4 linked regions of the Caenorhabditis elegans genome follow. The protein of the gene in region 1 purifies or fractionates together with the protein of each later gene. This does not show direct contact. Each region holds a gene or a part of one and is shown in the gene's direction. Other genes may lie near its edges. The genes, in order: ttb-1, T24H10.1, rha-1 and cyc-2.1.

The links.
Region 2: the proteins of ttb-1 (region 1) and T24H10.1 fractionate together in Caenorhabditis elegans (co-fractionation; one large-scale study listed by BioGRID). This does not show direct contact.
Region 3: the proteins of ttb-1 (region 1) and rha-1 fractionate together in Caenorhabditis elegans (co-fractionation; one large-scale study listed by BioGRID). This does not show direct contact.
Region 4: the proteins of ttb-1 (region 1) and cyc-2.1 fractionate together in Caenorhabditis elegans (co-fractionation; one large-scale study listed by BioGRID). This does not show direct contact.

What each region holds. Positions count from the first base shown.
Region 1 is NC_003283.11:155,018-159,837, forward strand, and holds the start of ttb-1 (Transcription initiation factor IIB), read left to right. Parts: upstream 1-1,807; 5' UTR 1,808-1,813; coding exon 1,814-1,920; intron 1,921-2,001; coding exon 2,002-2,269; intron 2,270-4,820.
Region 2 is NC_003280.10:9,097,384-9,101,073, forward strand, and holds T24H10.1 (Putative transcription elongation factor S-II), read left to right. Parts: upstream 1-1,987; 5' UTR 1,988-1,994; coding exon 1,995-2,132; intron 2,133-2,184; coding exon 2,185-2,271; intron 2,272-2,323; coding exon 2,324-2,653; intron 2,654-2,700; coding exon 2,701-3,072; 3' UTR 3,073-3,186; downstream 3,187-3,690. Other genes in the region: clh-5 (Chloride channel protein), read right to left, coding at 1-501, 652-790, 864-1,053, 1,115-1,214. UniProt on the Caenorhabditis elegans protein: Necessary for efficient RNA polymerase II transcription elongation past template-encoded arresting sites.
Region 3 is NC_003280.10:8,877,954-8,885,344, reverse strand, and holds rha-1 (ATP-dependent RNA helicase A), read left to right. Parts: upstream 1-1,685; coding exon 1,686-1,856; intron 1,857-1,899; coding exon 1,900-2,330; intron 2,331-2,387; coding exon 2,388-2,434; intron 2,435-2,485; coding exon 2,486-2,622; intron 2,623-2,674; coding exon 2,675-2,935; intron 2,936-2,983; coding exon 2,984-3,472; intron 3,473-3,518; coding exon 3,519-3,693; intron 3,694-3,742; coding exon 3,743-4,087; intron 4,088-4,132; coding exon 4,133-4,301; intron 4,302-4,346; coding exon 4,347-5,021; intron 5,022-5,079; coding exon 5,080-5,487; intron 5,488-5,537; coding exon 5,538-5,754; intron 5,755-5,800; coding exon 5,801-5,864; intron 5,865-5,913; coding exon 5,914-5,946; intron 5,947-6,442; coding exon 6,443-6,726; 3' UTR 6,727-6,849; downstream 6,850-7,391. Other genes in the region: ddx-19 (RNA helicase), read right to left, coding at 1-67, 114-165, 372-437; T07D4.5 (P53 and DNA damage-regulated protein 1), read left to right, coding at 1,016-1,207, 1,253-1,387, 1,433-1,534.
Region 4 is NC_003282.8:4,747,386-4,750,399, reverse strand, and holds cyc-2.1 (Cytochrome c 2.1), read left to right. Parts: upstream 1-1,950; 5' UTR 1,951-1,958; coding exon 1,959-2,138; intron 2,139-2,189; coding exon 2,190-2,345; 3' UTR 2,346-2,496; downstream 2,497-3,014. Other genes in the region: Y17G9B.5 (Evolutionarily conserved signaling intermediate in Toll pathway, mitochondrial), read right to left, coding at 1-154; rpl-18A (Large ribosomal subunit protein eL20), read left to right, coding at 631-837, 886-1,221; tctn-1 (Tectonic domain-containing protein), read left to right, coding at 2,568-2,748, 2,802-2,905.

The sequences.
Region 1 (4,820 bases):
GAATGCTACTTGACAGAAACGCTCATAACTTTTCAAGCAAACGAGTTATGAAAAAACTGTCAACTAGAAAAATGTTCAAAAATATTTTTTTGTTTTTGGTCAGTTGGCATTTTATTAATATCTCTGCAATGAACAAAGTTATACCACTTTCAATAGTTTTTTGTTGTATATTTTATAGTAGCTCATCAGAATAGTATTTCACCACTTGCACTTCCTACTATCTTCTAAATTTCCCGTCACTGCATTGAACTTCTGAGACACCTTTTCCCTCCGATCAACTAGACTACTATTTTCTCTGCGTCTCCAACAATGCCACACTCTCCGCGCAAAAACCGACCTTTGCCCCTTGGGGGTGGGGCTTGCCCCTTCTGTCGACCGACCAACAAACATAGAGAATGAGAAGAGAAAGAAAAAGAGACCCCCCACGTGTGCGGTCTCTATCTGATGGGTTGCACTTGAGAAGGGAAACGTGGTGTTCGTATGGGGATCCTGAGCAGACTACATACAGAATTTATTGCACATGCTACGTGGCAATTTGAGCTCACGGGGCGGCAAAAAGGGATCTATTTAACACCGACAATTTGTGATTTTGCACCAAAAATACGGTTACCGGTCTCGACACGACAAATTGTTGTTAAATGCAAAAAGGTGTGCGCCTTCAAACGGTACTGTACTTTCAAACTTTTTTTGCTGGCTTCTAATGTATTTTTTATAGTGTACTTTTTGACGAATTTATGTAGTTATAAAAAATATATTGTTGTGTTTGAGTTTTTACTAATGAATCAATTAATTTTTGTTGAAAAACTATGAAAATTTACAAAACTTCCGCAGTACTCTTTATAGGCGCAGACCATTCGGCATTTGTCGTGTCGAGACCGGGTACCGTATTTTTGGCGAAATAACGCGATTGAAATCGCAAATTTTGCGTCTGGGTAATATATTTAAATATATTTATATACAATGTTTGTATATAACTATATATAATGCAATACTGCATAATTTTTAAACTCCTAAGGCTAAAAATCCTTCTTCTCCCTTTCCTGGGGCGATGTTTTTGGGGAAGCTTCTTTAAAATTTGCCAAATGAATTAAACTTCAATATTTTCTGTAAAAAAACCGAGAACGGAAGATAATTGGCTTCAAAGTGCCCGGGCATTTTTGGGCATGCCCAAAAATCTCTGTTGCCAATTAACTATTATTTGAACACCCGCGCGCAAAGCGCTTAAAGTTTCCTAGGCCACGCGACCGTGTACTCCTCTCGGACAAACAAACAAATCGAATTTTATACATTTTTTTCTCAATTTTCGGCGATTATTCACGATTTCTCGTTTTTTACATTCTTCAGAAAGTAGTTTAAACCAAATTCTCATGTTTTATCGACGAAAATACAAACTATTCGCCTAAAAATGCCCGTTTTTACAACGCTTGCTGGCCATTTCTCTTTGAACTTTACTTCAAAATAAAACAAAGTCGCTATAAAACTTGTTTTTTCTTCATAAATCCTAAAAAAATCCCGTTTAAATTCCCTCCAATTTTCGCCCTGACACTAAACAGGGCGCGCTAACGACACTCCGTTTCTGGCTATTTAAATTGTGTTTTTTTTTCGAAATGCAAAATGATGTGCGAATTTCGTCGGAAATTTTAGTTTACAGTTCACTATAGTGTAAAAATTGGTCATTAATCGATTTAAAAGACTTTTAAAAAGAAAAAAATGACTAGGATATTGGCAAAAAATCGACTTTTATTCGAATTTCCTTCATTTTCACCGTTAAAAATCCGAATAAACTCGAAAATGTTCAAAATTTCAGCAGAAAATGTCGGCTCCAGTCCAGTGTCCGATCCATCCAGACGTGCATTTGATCGAAGATCACCGTGCCGGGGATCTGGTCTGTCCGGCGTGCGGCTTGGTCGTCGGTGATCGGTGAGCCTTAAAAATATATAATTTCCTGCAAAAAATGATCTTTAAATCATTTTTAAAGCAATTAATTTAACTATTTTTCAGTCTGGTCGACGTCGGAACCGAATGGCGTTCATTTTCCAACGAACGTAGTGGAAATGACCCATCTCGTGTCGGAGCACCGGAAAATCCGCTGCTCAGCGGCGGAGATTTGAGCACAACTATCGCCGTGGGCTTTGGCGGCTCCGACAGTGATAATAGTTTGGCGAATGCTCAAAGAAAGTCAATGAACAATACGGATCGTCAAATGACCGCCGCGATGAGCCTTATTAGGGAAATGAGCGAGAGAATTCACTTGCCAAGAAATATTCAGGTAGAATATTGGATTTTAACTGAAAAATTCGATGAAAAATGTTGGGAAATTCGTCAAAAAACAGATTTATAATCTCAAAGCAAAGGAATCACTTTAAAATTGGAATAGAAACTATAAAAATGACATTCTTCCTGGATTTTTGCTGAAAACACACATGAAATTGTAAAAAATCTCAATTTTGAACGATTTCAGCCGGAAAAAATTAGCGAATTTAGACATTTTTTGAAAGTTTTTCTTTCACTTTTGGACAAAAACAGCTGTTCAACGCTTAAAAAGTTGAATAATTGTCAATGAAACCTGAATTTTCCCGAAAAAAAAAAATTTAATATCAAAGTTTTAGTTTTTTCCGTAAAAACTCAAAGAAAGTTGTGAAAAAACTTAATTTCAACCTGAATATTTGTAAAAAAGCAACGTTTCTATGTCATTCATCGATTTTTCGAAAAAAAAAGTGGAAAATGAAGGTATCCACCTTTTTTTCCAATAATTTTCCATATGAATAACGTCTTCACAAGGAAAGTTTTGGGTAAAATCTCAAATTTGGAAGATTTTACTCTGTAAAATCAGAAAATTCTTTTAAATTATTGTTTTTTAATTGAAAATTCAAGATTTTCACCCATTTTCTTAATGATGCCGGCATTTTTCATGCAATTTTCTGATTTTTTTCACCTATTTTCAGTGACTAGCGCACGACGTGCGCTATGCCTTCGGGAGTGGGGATAGGGTTAGTTCGCTCTAACGTATCAGCAAGGTAGCTGGCGTAGGTTCTCGGCTTCGCCTCAAACCTGTGTTGGGGTTAAGTGTGTTCACCTTGAAATTAATAAAATATTCTAAGGATTTGTTTCTTTTTTACATTTTAAGAATTATTTTGCGGCTCCGGCGCTGAGTTTTCAGTTTCTCTAAGATTGAAGAAACATTCTAATGTAAGGAGTTGTTTCACATTGAAATATTCTTAAAAATTATTTAGCGCCAGCGGCGCTGAGTTGAATTTTCTCTAAGATTAGAAAAATATTCTAAGCAGTTGTTTCAAATTCAAAAATTCTTAAGAGTTATCAGCGCCTTCGGCGCTGGATTTTCAAAGTTTTTTGAAAGAAAGAAACATACTAAAAAGTTGTTTCTAATTTAACACTTTGAAGTCTTATTTAGCGCCTTCGGCGCTGATTTGAACTTTTACTAAGATTGATGAAATATGCTGAAAAGATTTTTCACTTTTAAAAAGAAAATGTAAAAACATAAAAGATATTTCGAAAACTTAGGTGAGGATATGAAATGGTAGTTTTTTTTCAAAACTTTTTCATTTTTAAAGCTGGACAACATTTCCCCTAAAATTTTTTTGAATCTTACATTTTTCGAATTCAGTGTCAAATTCTGAGTCTATTCAAAAAAACAGAATTAAAATTAATCTTAAACAAACCAATTAACAAACGCTCAAAGTTGAAAAATCAAAAATCAAAAAAGGCATTAACTTTCTTCTGGGTCGATTATCTCTGTGATGTATGACTCGATTTTCAAAATTTTTTTGTCACTCGCTTAAGAAATCTTCAAGGTTTTATATATTTTGCTCAGAATCAGAATAGCTCAAACGACTGCAAAGTTCTGAGAGGGGGAAAAAAGTTTTTGGACAAAAAACTACCGTTTACTACCTACAGTACCCCTACAGTACACCTACCGTTTACCACCTACAGTACACCTACCGTTTACCACCTACAGTACACCTACAGTACACCTATTTTTACCACCTACAGTACCCCTACAGTACCTTAGCATCAACTCCTAACCGAATACCTCTTCAAAAAAAAAATTAAAAAAAAAATAACACTCGGTGGGGGTCGAACCAATGCAACGCTGCTAACATTATTTTTTCCTATTATGTTTAAAATGTTTTGCAAAATTCGCAAATTTTGAACTTTTTCATATGTTTCCAGGTAGATATTTGATAAACTGTTTTAAAAAACGAAATCTACGTACAAATTCACATATTGATGTCAAAAACCTAACAAAAATGTTGAGGTTAAACATGTTTTCCATACACTTTTCAAAATGTAGAGATATTTCAGCTGTAAATTTCAAATTACTATAACTTTGCTCACAGTCAATCAAATTGCAGAAACTAAAATTTTTTAACAATCCCAGACATACACCAATTGTTTCAAATAAATTTTGTACCATCACCTTCAACACTGTGCAAAAAAAGCGACATGACACGCGAAAAACGCCTTTTTTTGGTGTTTTACTTAACTTTTCTCTTAAAAGACATGAACCAATTACATAACCATTTAGATAATAAGATAGAAAAAATATTTTTACATATTCTGAAAAAAAGAAAATCAAAAAATATCCAGTAACAGCAAAGTTAGAGACAAAAGTGTGTGCTCAGTTTTCGGACGGTGGTTTTGCGACACGCAAAACGGGAAATCACGCAAGTTCCGAATTTAATATAGGAAGAAGGCAGAAAATTCAGAATTTTATAGCCCAAATTCAGTATTAAATGTTGGAAAAAACCAATTTTTTTCAATTTAAAAAAAAAAATCTACATTTTTAATTATGTCCTGTT
Region 2 (3,690 bases), on another chromosome or scaffold:
AACACTGACTCCAGCTGCAGCAGATGCTGACAGAATTTCACGTTTTTTTGCTTCATTAAGACCATATTTAGGGAATAAATATGAGAAAATATTTCCAATGCAACAAGCCAAGTGGACCATTGGACCTTCTTTTCCAAGAGACAAACCAGAAGCTGACGATAGAATAAGTCCTACAGATTTGATGATAAATGTCCATTTTCCAAGATATCCACGAATCACGAATCCAGATAAAATGCATTTGATTTCTGGAATTCCAGATCCACAGGCGTAGGGAGCGAATATTTTAACGAAAAGAACGGCAAGAGTCGACATTGCAACAGCCCATCCAATATAAAATATCCATTCGAGAAATAAGAAGAGAAAACTGGATGAGTTGTAGTAATTCAGCATCCATGGCCATTTCGTCCATGCTTTACAATCATCATCCTTATAAAATGTATCATTTGATGACCAACAACAGTGTTCGTGATCCAACCAGAAACGATCCGCACACACTCCTGTCTGAAATTTTAATTTGACACTTGGATGGATTTTTGAAAACAGTTTTTATACCAAAAATTAAAAAAAAATTTATACATGTTAAAATCAATTTGAAGCTTGTTCATAGCTCAAAAATTGAATTTAGATTTTCACTTCAGATAAATAAATAACCTTTAGATCACTCATCCATCGAGCTCCAATATCGATGATTCCAGCAGTTGCACCAGCAGCCAGTCCAACAAAAAGAACGCATATCCATCCTGCTCCGGCATCCCATCCCGATTGTAGAAGCCCAAGGGGGAAATCCACTCTGAAAATATTATTTGTTGCAGGTCATAAATTCATTTAGCTTTGCATTATTTTAATGGGGGAACCCAACTAACTTTTTCTTAGATATCATTTTATGCCGTAACCGATCTCTGGCTAAATCTCTTTGCCAATCAATTGTATGAAAATCTCCATATTTACTGAAAAACGGCGGAGCCATGACGTCTGGAAGATCGTCGTCTGTTTTGAATCTGACGTCATCAATAGCACCAAATGGGTTAAAATCACTTGAAGAGCTGCCGCCACCTGAATGAAAAGTGTTCGTTAAGAAAATTTTCTATGGGAAAATTGATATTGTTTCGATCACCTGCAGTCATATCAAGGTGTATTGTAGCAGAAGTTCCACTTGGTTCCAACTCGACATCATCTGTTGAACCAAGGGTCGACGACCGACCTGCTCGTTCCATTTTCGGCTGGAATAAAAGAACAATTATTTGTTAAGATAGAAAAGGAAATATTTGAAAACAAAAATTTGTGGTTTAACATCAAGAGCTATTTTGATACCGCACAGAAGGGTAGCTGGAGTCAAATGAATAAAATGGGAATTTCACATTCTGCAACTAAAAAAGTCCCAAGAATCAATATGGGATTAATATAATCTCATAGAAATATTAATTATGATTTTAAATGGAGATGCGATAAATGGAGATGGCCAAAAAGTTAACTGAAAATTAAAAAAAAAAGAGAAAATTGATCAATGATTGTAACTTTAACTGACTGATAATTCAGGCTGTTGACTATAAACATAGCATGAAATCTCAAATACTTAACTAATAAATGTCAACATTCAGTTCGACTGGACACAATGTTAGTGCCGTGATATTTTACGAGCTCCAAAATCTAAGGGATTATTATATTTGAAACTAACAGATGAATTATATCATGAATAACATTATTTTTGAGCATATTGAGAATAAAAAGAGAAGAATCTTTCTGAAAATCGCCAAATCATCGTAACTTTCCCAGAATCCGAGACAGGTCAGGAGAGGCGCACGAGAAATGCGCCAGGTGCCTTTGCTGACGCGTTATTCGGATTATTGACGCGTTTCTTCAAATGTACCAATTTCGTTTTCAGTCAATATTCACAGATATTTGTGTTTTTTGCGCGTCCACATCTTTTCTCTCTTTATAATCCACTACATAATTAATACTCTCCGTCATTCTTTACCTTTTGTCTTGCAGCAGCTATGTCCGCTCTCGAGGAAACACAATCGTTGTGCAAGCAAGTTGACGATATTTGCAATAATGGAATGGAATCCGTCGAACAATGCAATAAGCTGCTCGACCAGTTGTCGAAAATTCCAATGAGCATCGAAATAATCCAGGTGAGTTCTACTTTAATTTTGTCCATCAAGTAATAATAAAATTGTTTTCCAGAAAACCAACATTGGAATAAAAGTGAATATGATGCGGAAAAAAGTCACAGATGATGCTGTTGCAAAGCGGGCTAAGAACATCATTAAGGTACTTTTTTTCATAAATGAAATGTAGCTACTTCCAATTATTTTTTTTCTAGGATTGGAAGAATGTAGTTGATGGAAAGAGCAAGTCACAGGATGATGGTGGTGCTCCACCTGCGAAGAAGCACAGAAAGGAAAGTGTTGAAGAGGCAAAACCAGAGAAAAAGAAGATCGAGGCTCCATATAAGCGGCCAGAACCATCTAGTCGGCCAGAAATAGTTGCTCAATTTGCCAGTGCATCTTTCCCACCGAAACATCTTGAAAATGACGAGACCCGTCTTAAATCTGCACAACTTCTACTTTCGGCACTTCGGTTTGGAGACATGCCACAAGGAACACTCGATCCAGAGGAGTTAGCTGTCCAAATTGAAGAGAAACTCTATTCGGTATGGTTTATCCTGAAAGTGAAACATTTTTAACTTTTTGATTATAGGTTCACCGTGATACAAACAAGAGTTACTCAGCAGCTGTTCGTAGTCGCATTTTCAATCTTCGTGATAAAAAGAACCTTGCTCTACGTGAAAATGTTCTCACTGGTGTCGTCCGTGCTGAAAAGTTTGCAACCATGACCAGCGAAGAAATGGCATCCGCTGAAATCCGGGAGATGCGTGATAAATTCACGAAGGAAGCTATCCTAGAACATCAAATGAGCGTCCAGCAAGGAACTCCATCAGACATGTTCAAGTGCGGAAAATGTGGAAAGAAGAATTGCACCTATACTCAGCTTCAAACTCGTTCTTCCGACGAACCGATGACAACATTTGTCTTCTGTCTCGAGTGCGGAAATCGCTGGAAGTTTTGCTGATTTTTTGAGATTCTTTCTTCTAAATTGTCTTCACGTGGTAGTTTTGCCAGATACCCCATACACACTCTTCCACGGATACTCAAATATGATTGTTATAAGTTTTCTGGCTTGTGTAATAATTAACTGATAATTTATTTGTTAATCTTCACTCTCCTCCACCCCCCCCCCCCCATATCCACTGAAAAGTGGTAAATTTGTTTGTTGATTTTATATAAACTTGTATTGCATATAAAATATTTTTCACTTTCGATAATGCCAATAGTTACTACGAGAGCTGTTTCAGCGAGCTGATAAATGAGCTGTTTAACATGATGGAAATAGCAGGACGAAAAGAATATTGGTAATTGATACGGTAGCGGTGCATTATCAAATAAAAAGGATAAAACTAAACGTGTCGACCTTAATAACCGCGTGTAAGTAAACGTGGTTTGGTTTTAAGGGGAGAAATTAATACATCCTTTCTTTTCTTTCTCTAAATTCTCTTCTTCTATCAAAGCTAAATATCTTCTTTATTTTGGTAAGTAGACGCCAGAAGCCAATTTGTGCACTTTTAAAATTTGATGGTGAGGTGGAGTCACGTTGGTGTAATGGAAAATGTGAATGGAAAGAAACGATCTG
Region 3 (7,391 bases), on another chromosome or scaffold:
GGTGGAGCATTACTGGCTTTTGGTCCGCCGAACATGCCTCCTCGGCTAATTCCCCATCCATTTGATCCTGTAAAAATAACTGTTAGGAAAGAAGTTTCTCCGATGAATCTTACCTTTATTCTCTTCATTTTGATCCATTTCCGAGCCTGATTGCACCTTTTCGGTCTGAAAGAAATTAATATATTCCGTTCCGCTGAAAAAATGCACTCGGTTTCCACGCACACATACAGGGAAGAAGCATGAAAATTGTGCGAGGTAGAAGCAAAAAGCAATTGTACAGTGCAAGAGAAAAGAGCCGAAACTCTCGGAACACGGACGGACAAACAGACAAACAATCACGAACACACATAGACATTAACAAATCCGACCACCTTTTCTGGCACTTCAAGCCCTTCCGATCGACACTGCTCGTCGAATGCAATACCCCAATCAGCCATTTTCGATCTGTTATGAGAACTACGATAATTCATTGTTAGTATTCAGGACAAATTAAAGATCGGAACACGAAATTGAAAAGAAAACATGTTGAGGCGAAATTTGGGTCGACACATGAACCCGAGAAGGGAGAGATTGCAGAAAGAAGATAGTTCTTTGGTTCATCGACAGGGTAGGAAATAGTTATTCTAGAAGTGTTTTCTCTATTTTGCCATTGATAATGCATGTAAACACATTGTTTGGTCAGGGAAGTACAAAATCTATCTTCTTTTTAGGGCATTTTTCCACAAAATATATGAAATTTAACTTTAAAATGTATTTTAAACATTTGAAGTTATAAAAATGACGCACACATGAAAGATAAATAGAATAAACAAACAAAAAATTAGGATCGACGCCAATAAAAACATCTGAAATTGAGATGAGCAATTTCGAAAATGGGTACGGTTGACAGTACACCGTACACAGTAATGCACACAATGCACCAGATCATACGACAAACATATCTTAATATTTAAATTTAGGATTTTTAACTTGCAAGTATCATGATATTCTTGCTAATTGTTATTTTTTAAAGAAAATGATCACTCACCTGTCTACTGGAATGGCTTTGAACAACGCAAAAACACCGCATGACCATCAAAAAGAGTTACGCGACAAAACTTCAGAGATAATTTACCTTTCAACGAAATTAAATCACGCCAAAGAAACATGTGTGAATCTGGATAATGAACGTCAGAAGTTTCGAGAAGTTAGCCGAAAAATCAAAGAGGTTTGTCTGTAAAACAATAATGCAAACTGAATAACTTATTTTCAGAAGGATATTGATCCAGTTTGGATATACAATGGAACGTGCTTCCTTCAAACAAGCCAAGCAAATAGTTTGAATATTTTGGAGAAAGATACGAAAACTGTCGAAGAAGTTCGTGGACAGATTCAAGAAGTTATCAAGGTAAAATAAAAATATTAATTCGATAATTGAATTGTTTTTTTACAGAAAGACATGGACACATTTCTCAAACTACACAAGAAGCGAAATCTAGAAGAACGTGGTTTCGGTTTAAAGCCATTGCTCAAAGACGGAAAATTAACTGATTAAATTATGAAATATCTGAATACGGGTCAATGAATTGATATTAAAATACTTAAATTTGTATTGTTATCCTGTTCTTGTATATCCGAGTTTAATTTCTCGTCTCTTTATTTGAACTATTCGCGACTTTTTAAATCTTGTTAAATATTATTTTTAGATGTCCAGAGACGTCAAAGAATTTCTATATGCTTGGTTAGGAAAGAATAAGTATGGAAATCCGACGTACGATACAAAAAGTGAAACCAGGAGTGGTAGGCAGAGATTCAAATGCGAACTTCGGATCACAGGATTTGGCTACACTGCTTTCGGAAATTCCACAAACAAAAAGGTTCGTGCTACTTGGGAAATCAGTTTTTATCAAAAGTTTTCAGGATGCTGCTACCAATGCTGCTCAAGATTTCTGCCAATACCTAGTCAGAGAAGGAAAAATGCAACAGAGTGATATTCCGACTCTAACGTCTTCGAGTCTTGAAGCTTCTTCCACGTGGCAAGATTCTGAAACTGCTACAATGTTTTGTGGTGGAGAAGATGGCAACTCGTTCCAAGAGTCACAGCAACCAATTCCACAAAAAAGATTTCCTTGGAGTAACAATGCATATCAACGTAACGAGGGCACACATGAACAATATATTACACAGAAAGCAGAAGAAATTGCTGCATCGGAAACTGTTGATCTAAAATCAGAAATTCATGGAGGATGGACGATGGAGAATTCAAAGAAAGCGCTGAATGAGTTTCTTCAAAAAATGAGACTTCCACAGGTTAACTATGGAACCAAAATTCGAGAATCAAACACCGTTAAGTAAGTTTTTCATATTAGAAGAATTACTTCATTTTTTTCATACCAAAATATTTACAGAACAATGGAGACGACTGCCCAAATCTTTGTTCCTCAAATCAACAAAAGTGCGTTCTTTTATCGTCTTTTATCCAAATAAAAAATGAAAATGTTTACAGATCTCGTTGGAAAAGGTACTGGATCTAACAAGAAAGTTTCTGAAGCGGCGTGTGCAATGAATATCGTTCGTCAGATGTTCCATCTCAATATTATGCAATCGTACAGTGGACCAATCAAGAAGAGTAAAGTCAGCACGGTTAGTTTTTCTGAGTTTAAGTTGTTTTGAAGTTTATTATATTAATTTTCAGCTTCCTGAAATTGCGATTTCCATTCCAGAAGATCTCTCAACTCGAGTGACAGAATATGTTCGGTCGTGCGGTCTTGAGTTGCCAGAAATCAACGAAACGAGTGCAACTCCGGAAGCTCCTACCTCACTGCTCACGGATGTTAAACTAGCGCAGTTCCCTGTTTCAGAAATTTGTTCCGCTTCGAATATCTCCTGGGCACCTCCTCTTCAGAATTGGAATCCATGGAGAGCTTCGAATATCGATGAGGAACCATTAGCTTTTGTAAGTTTTTTGATTCAAGCGAATAATTTAAAATTAAATTAAATTCAGATGTCAATGGAGCAAATTAGTCAGAGAATAATGGAAAAAGAGGATTTCAAGCGAGGTGAAGCACTTGACAAAATAACAGCTCAACGTGGAGAACTCCCTGTCGCCCAGTATCGTGAAAACATTGTACAAACCGTCGCAGAAAATCGTGTTACACTGATCAAAGGAGAAACTGGATGTGGAAAGAGTACTCAAGTTGCTCAATTTCTACTGGAAAGTTTTTTGGAAAATTCTAATGGAGCATCTTTCAATGCAGTCGTCTCTCAACCTCGTCGTATTTCTGCAATTTCACTGGCCGAACGTGTCGCCAACGAGCGAGGAGAAGAAGTTGGAGAAACATGCGGATATAATGTTCGATTCGATAGTGCAACTCCTCGGCCATATGGATCTATCATGTTTTGTACTGTTGGAGTCTTGCTGCGAATGATGGAGAACGGATTACGAGGAATTTCACATGTAATCATCGATGAAATTCACGAACGGGATGTTGACGTGAGTGTTGAAACTGCACATCAAATTAAAAATCTTTTTTTTTCAGACTGACTTTGTTCTTATTGTGCTCCGCGAAATGATTAGCACATACCGAGATCTACGTGTGGTACTCATGTCTGCCACCATCGACACTGATTTGTTTACCAATTTCTTCAGCTCTATCCCAGATGTTGGCCCGACACCAGTTATCACGATGCATGGAAGAACTTTTCCTGTACAATGTAAGTTCTGGATAAAAATAGTTATATTTAAATTAATTTAAAATTTCAGCATTCTACCTGGAAGACATTCTTCACAATCTTCAGCATATGCCTGAGGAACCAGATCAAAAGAAACGGAAAAAGGGAGGACCACCTCCACCAGATGATGATGAAGGAGATGAAGAAGTGGATGATAAGGGTCGAAACATGAATATTCTAACAGATCCATCAATCAACGAATCACTGAAAACAGCAATGTCAAGAATCTCTGAAAAAGATATTCCATTCGGTGTGATCGAAGCTATTTTGAACGATATTGCATCCCGCGGAGTGGATGGCGCCGTTTTAGTTTTTCTTCCCGGTTGGGCAGAAATTATGACACTTTGCAATCGACTTTTAGAGCACCAAGAATTTGGTAAATTTACAAATTAAAACTTCAATCAAAATTATTAATTTCCAGGCCAAGCTAATAAATATGAAATTCTTCCACTTCATTCTCAATTAACTAGTCAGGAACAGAGAAAAGTGTTCAATCACTACCCAGGAAAGCGGAAGATCATTGTTTCAACAAATATCGCTGAAACAAGTATTACAATTGATGACGTAGTCTATGTGATTGACTCTTGCAAGTAAGTATTTTTAAAAAAGATCACCGAAATCTTTCTTTTTTTTAGAGCAAAGGAACGAATGTATACATCGAACAACAATATGGTTCATTTCGCAACTGTCTGGGCATCAAAGACAAATGTAATTCAAAGAAGAGGGCGCGCTGGTCGTGTTAGAGCTGGATACGCTTTTCATTTATGCAGTAAGATGAGATTTGAAGCACTGGATGATCACGGAACTGCTGAAATGCTTCGGATTCCTCTTCATCAAATCGCTTTGACAATCAAACTTCTCCGTCTCGGATCCGTCGGTGAATTCCTTGGAAAGGCTCTTCAACCTCCACCGTATGATATGGTCGTCGAAAGTGAAGCAGTGTTACAAGCGATGGGAGCTCTTGATCGTAATTTAGAATTGACAAGTCTCGGAAAAATGCTCGCTCGTATGCCAATTGAGCCTGTCATTGCCAAAGTGCTTATTCTTGGAACTGCTCTTGGTGCAGGATCTGTGATGTGTGACGTGGCATCTGCAATGTCATTTCCAACTCCATTCGTTCCACGAGAGAAGCATCACAGCCGATTGAGTGGTACACAGCGAAAGTTTGCTGGAAACAAGTTTTCTGATCATGTTGCAATTGTCTCTGTGATTCAAGGATATCGTGAAGCCGTTCAAATGGGTGCATCTGCTGCTGAGCGCGAATTCTGTGAGCGATACTCGCTGAGTAATCCTGTGCTCAAAATGACTGAGTAAGTTGTTTATAAATTCTCCTAGAATTAAAAAAAAAACTAAATTCATTTTTTTCAGTGGAGCACGTAGACAGTTGATTGATGTACTTCGAAATCAATGCAGTTTCCCTGAAGACATTTTGTTTGATATCTCTGTTAACGTCAATGGACCAGATCGTGAACTTAATCTGATGCGTTCTCTTCTTGTCATGGCTCTTTATCCAAATGTGGCGTACTACGTTGGAAAACGGAAAGTATTAACGATAGAGCAATCGAGTGCACTAATCAACAAGTATTCTATGCTTGTTCCGATGAATAATCGCCAAGAAATGGATTTCCCAAGTCCTCTGCTCGTTTTCACTGAAAAAGTTCGTACCAGATGCATCTCATGTAAACAAATGTCAGTGATCAGTGCAATACAATTGTTAGTTTTTGGAAGTCGAAAAGTTGAATGTGTCGGAGAAGGACTTGTTCGCATTGATGAGACGTACGTTTTTGAATTCATTTTGAAAATAATATCACAATATTTTTTTCTAGTATTACAATTCGAATGAACGTTTCTACCGCAGCTGCTCTCATCGGTCTTCGTCCATGCATCGAAGCTCTTCTCGTCAAATCTTGTGAAAATCCAGAATCTCTGGCTGGCCTCAACCCATCAGATGCTGAACTTCGTCAACTTCTTCGTGACATATCTTCCGAAGAATTCATGTCCGAAGCTGGACCTATCAAAGACAGTCTACTTACAGATAATGCGGTAAAAATTTATTGTAAAACCCGTAGACTTAATAAAAAAATTTCAGTTAATCCAGAAAGGCCCTGCTCCAAATCGTCTTGAATATGCTGATTGGGGACCGTCGAACAACAGTGAGATTTTAATTTTGATTATTCAATTTAAATATTAAGAAATTTTCAGATTCATCATTCCAAAATCAAGATTTTCCACCAGGTAATTGTACACGGGGTTCGCTTTTTGTTTCTCCACTTGTCCTACCCATTTTTTGAACAACAATTATTTGAAATCACTGGATTGAGATTATTTTAATAGTGATAATTAGTTCAAAAATTAGAAAAATGTTTTCACGAATTTTGATGTTTAAACATTGAAACTTTCATCGAATTTTGTTTTTTTTTTAATAATTAAAAACATTAGGGTTTATATGATTCTCACGAAATATCCCAGGAAAATATCTTTTTCTCAAAAATTATAATAAAAAATCTGATTTTTTTGTAACTTTTTTTCAGTAAAAATCCATACAATAATTAACGAAAAACTTTTTTTTTAATAATTAAAAATAGAGAAAAAATTAAACTTTTTTTTGAATTAAAACTAACTGAACCCCCTAAATTATTAAATGTGCACAAATGCTGATCCGCTTTTGTCCCGTTCACATAACAATGCTTTTGCATGTGCGGTTTCCACATTAAACATACAATCAATTCAGCTGCTGGGGGCAAAGTGCACCCTTACCGCGGTAACAGACGCGGAAATCATCCATATGCTCAAAATCGTCCCTATGCTCCTCCCAATTCCGGAATGGGCTATCAGAATTTCAACAACTCAGGTTACGGCGCCAGTGGCGATTGGAACGCCGGACGTGGCAATTACGGCAATGTTGGAAGCGGATATCGAGGAGCTGGCGGCGGCGGCGGTTACCGAGGTGGTCGTGGTGGAAGAGGTGGTGGCCGTGGCGGTGGTGGCAGAGGATGGAATGCATCGAACTGGTAGATCAAATATATGCCTGTTGTTGTTATAACTTATGATCGTATAAGGAAATCGATCTCATCTTGTCACACTTATCAAAGTGTCGTTTTGGTTTTATTCTTTTTTATAATAAAAGTTTTGGTTGTTATTCGTATTCAAAAAACACATAATTCATTAGATACTGATATTTTGTTCTATTATGGGGTTATTCAAGTAGTGTCGGAAAATTAAAAAGTGTAGAAAAATTACGTCACAACTGTATTCAAGTATATAAAAACATGTATTTTAATACATTTGTGACGTCACAAATGTATTTAAATGCATTTTGCTACATTACTTGAATAACCCCATTAGGGAAACGGTGATTAGTTTGACACCAGGTACCAAGGCAGCTGTTTTCAGACCATGGGATCGGAAACTTTGGAAACTCATTCAATAGATTAATTAATACTTGAAATTCTAGAATCCGATGAGTTTTACTATCTTGTTTCTGGCACATAAAACTCGATTTTCTCGCAAAAAGTACGTTGTCCGTCTCGACATGGCAAATTTTGAGTTAAATGTGAAAAATAATTTTTGCCAAATGAGAGGAAATACTGTTTTACATTACTTTTACTAAGAATTCCGTATTCAGATATGTTACTGCGTTGATATTTTACGTGTTTTGATTTGAAAAAACGATAACAACA
Region 4 (3,014 bases), on another chromosome or scaffold:
CTATCGCTGCCATGAATGCATCTTTATCTCTTTTCTCCGGTTCTATAGCTTCGAATTGCTTTTCAACATGTACTAAACTCGTCTCTTGATTCGCTGCAGCAAAGCATCGTATTTGATTGCTGATAACCCGTCGTGAAACATGTGCAAGAGCCATTAAAGTCTGAATATGTACAAATAAATTAATATTATAACTTTATAGTTAAAATAAAACATTTAAAATCACATTTCTATATCTTTTTAACAAAAAAATTGCTTAAAAATCTAAGGAGTAAGTGCGCTCCACCGCTCCCCGTAAATCGACGGCGAGTGTATGAAGGATACGGTAATAGAACACGCAACAAAACTAGCACTGCCGCATACACTTTTGTGCGTTGAAATTCATTTTGGGTTTTCCTGATCCTATTTTTTAGCTTTTTTCCGCTTTTCTTTTTCTGATTTTTACAAAAATTTAACAGTTTTTTCATAGTTTTTAAATATTGCAATATGCACTCATATTTTTTCGGTAATTCCCATCTACCTTTCCATTTTAAAAGAAAATTGTAACGTTATCCTAAAATTGTTTTTCGCTATTATATCAGATTGTTCATTCCCCATTCCTTGCATCATATTTTTGTTTTTCAGGGTTAAAACATGCCAACCAAGGCTCTTGGAGAGACTCTTAATGAGTACGTCGTCGTCGGACGCAAAATCCCAACAGAGAAGGAGCCAGTGACTCCAATCTGGAAGATGCAAATCTTCGCCACCAACCACGTCATCGCCAAGTCTCGTTTCTGGTACTTCGTCTCTATGCTCCGTCGTGTGAAGAAGGCCAACGGAGAGATCCTTTCGATCAAGCAGGTTTGTGGAAAATAATAATAATAACCCATTTTACAATAAAATTTTCAGGTGTTCGAGAAGAACCCAGGAACCGTCAAGAACTACGGAGTCTGGCTCAAGTACGATTCCCGTACCGGACACCACAACATGTACCGTGAGTACCGTGACACCACCGTTGCCGGAGCCGTCACCCAGTGCTACCGTGACATGGGAGCTCGTCATCGTGCCCAAGCTGACCGCATCCACATCCTCAAGGTCCAAACCGTCAAGGCCGAAGACACCAAGCGTGCCGGAATCAAGATGTTCCACGACGCCAAGATCAGATTCCCACTCCCACATCGCGTCACCAAGAGAAAGAACCTCAGCGTCTTCACAACCGCTCGCCAAAACACCCACTTCGCCTAAGTTGCGGATTATTGTTATTTGTTACAATAAATTGTTGCAAACAAATTTTTTTCTTAATTTTTCATTTTAAATTTGTGTGGTTTGAATCCTGTTTGTTCAGCTTGTTATTTGTTTACTGTTTTTATCTCGTGCGCAGCACTTGTTGATGTTATTAGATGATCATTGCAATGATCCATAAGGCATCGGACCGCCCAGCTGACTTGTGTGACTGGTAAATTTTGTCAATATTTTCAAATTTGTTCTTTTGCAATATAGATATCTGCTCTTCTATATTCAGTTCTTACGCTACTAGATCTGTAACTACATTCCTTAAAGTTCAATATCACTATTTCGATAAGGTAAATTAATTCTTAATAATTGAGATAAGTTGATAAAAATCTGGATAACTGTAGATTTTGTAAGTTGTAAGCGTTAGAAATGCGGTAAATCTCGTAGAAACTTTATTTTTTGTATTTTAAGGGCAAAACCTTTCAGATCATAGATAAAAAGTTCAACAGCGTCATTTTAGTATGTCCTCGCTGAATGATATTTCACCCAGACTCCCGAGAGCGACCGCCCGATTGTTCTATGGCCTTTCTGTGTCTCTGCGTCTCCTCGCCGCCCGAGAGATGGCACAACCCCCGTTTCTTTCTCGCTATTGCATCACGGGCGGTTCCCCAAGTGCTGCTGTGGCGGTTTCTTCCTGCTAGACTCTTTTAGTATATATTTCACTAATTTCTGTATTTTAAGGGTTCAACATGTCCGATATCCCAGCTGGAGATTACGAAAAGGGAAAGAAGGTGTACAAGCAGAGATGCTTGCAGTGCCACGTCGTTGACTCGACCGCCACAAAGACCGGACCAACCCTCCACGGAGTTATCGGACGTACATCAGGAACTGTGTCTGGATTCGACTATTCCGCTGCTAACAAGAACAAGGTACAACTAATAAATTATTTCTTAACGTTTATTATAAATTAAAAATTATAGGGAGTCGTCTGGACCCGCGAGACCCTCTTCGAGTACCTCCTCAACCCAAAGAAGTACATCCCAGGAACCAAGATGGTGTTCGCTGGACTCAAGAAGGCTGACGAGCGTGCAGATCTCATCAAGTACATCGAGGTTGAATCCGCCAAGTCCCTCTAAATATTCCCCTAAATGTTCTCGCCTAGCTACGGCAATTTTTCATAGTTAGGCACTTTCGATTGTTTTACTTTTATATATTGCACTAATTTTGTGTCATTCTCATTTTTAGTAGCAAGAATATACGTCAATTTGGAAAATAAATAATTTTCCTAAATTCGTTTTCCTTTTCCCCACAGTCGCATCACAGCAGGTGTACACTCTTCCGCTACCATAGCAACCAAAATGGGCACCAATGCACCAAGAAATCGGAACGAGCTTTTTGTCATGCATCTTCTTGGATTTATTTTTCTTTTAACTTATTGTTCGGCTGATACTCCAGAGGTTTGTTATCCGTCAGTTGTTCGGCACCGGATTGATTCGATATTTCCAACTTCTCGTTTGTTCTGCGTCTCCAAGCAAAATGGTGGGCTTTTTTTAGCTGAACGCGAACAAATTACGGAGCTTTTTTGAATTTAGATGATTTGGAATATGGTGACGTGGAAATTGTGAATGGCGAAGAGCAATGGAACGAATTTTCAAAATCTAGATGGCAGCAAGATGAATCTGATTCACAAGAAAATGTAACACAATTAAAGATCTACGCAGACGGAAAATTTTGCGCCAGAAATACTGTACCTGGTCTCGACACGCTTTTGTTTGTAAAACGCGAAAAGATAAATATGCGCCTTT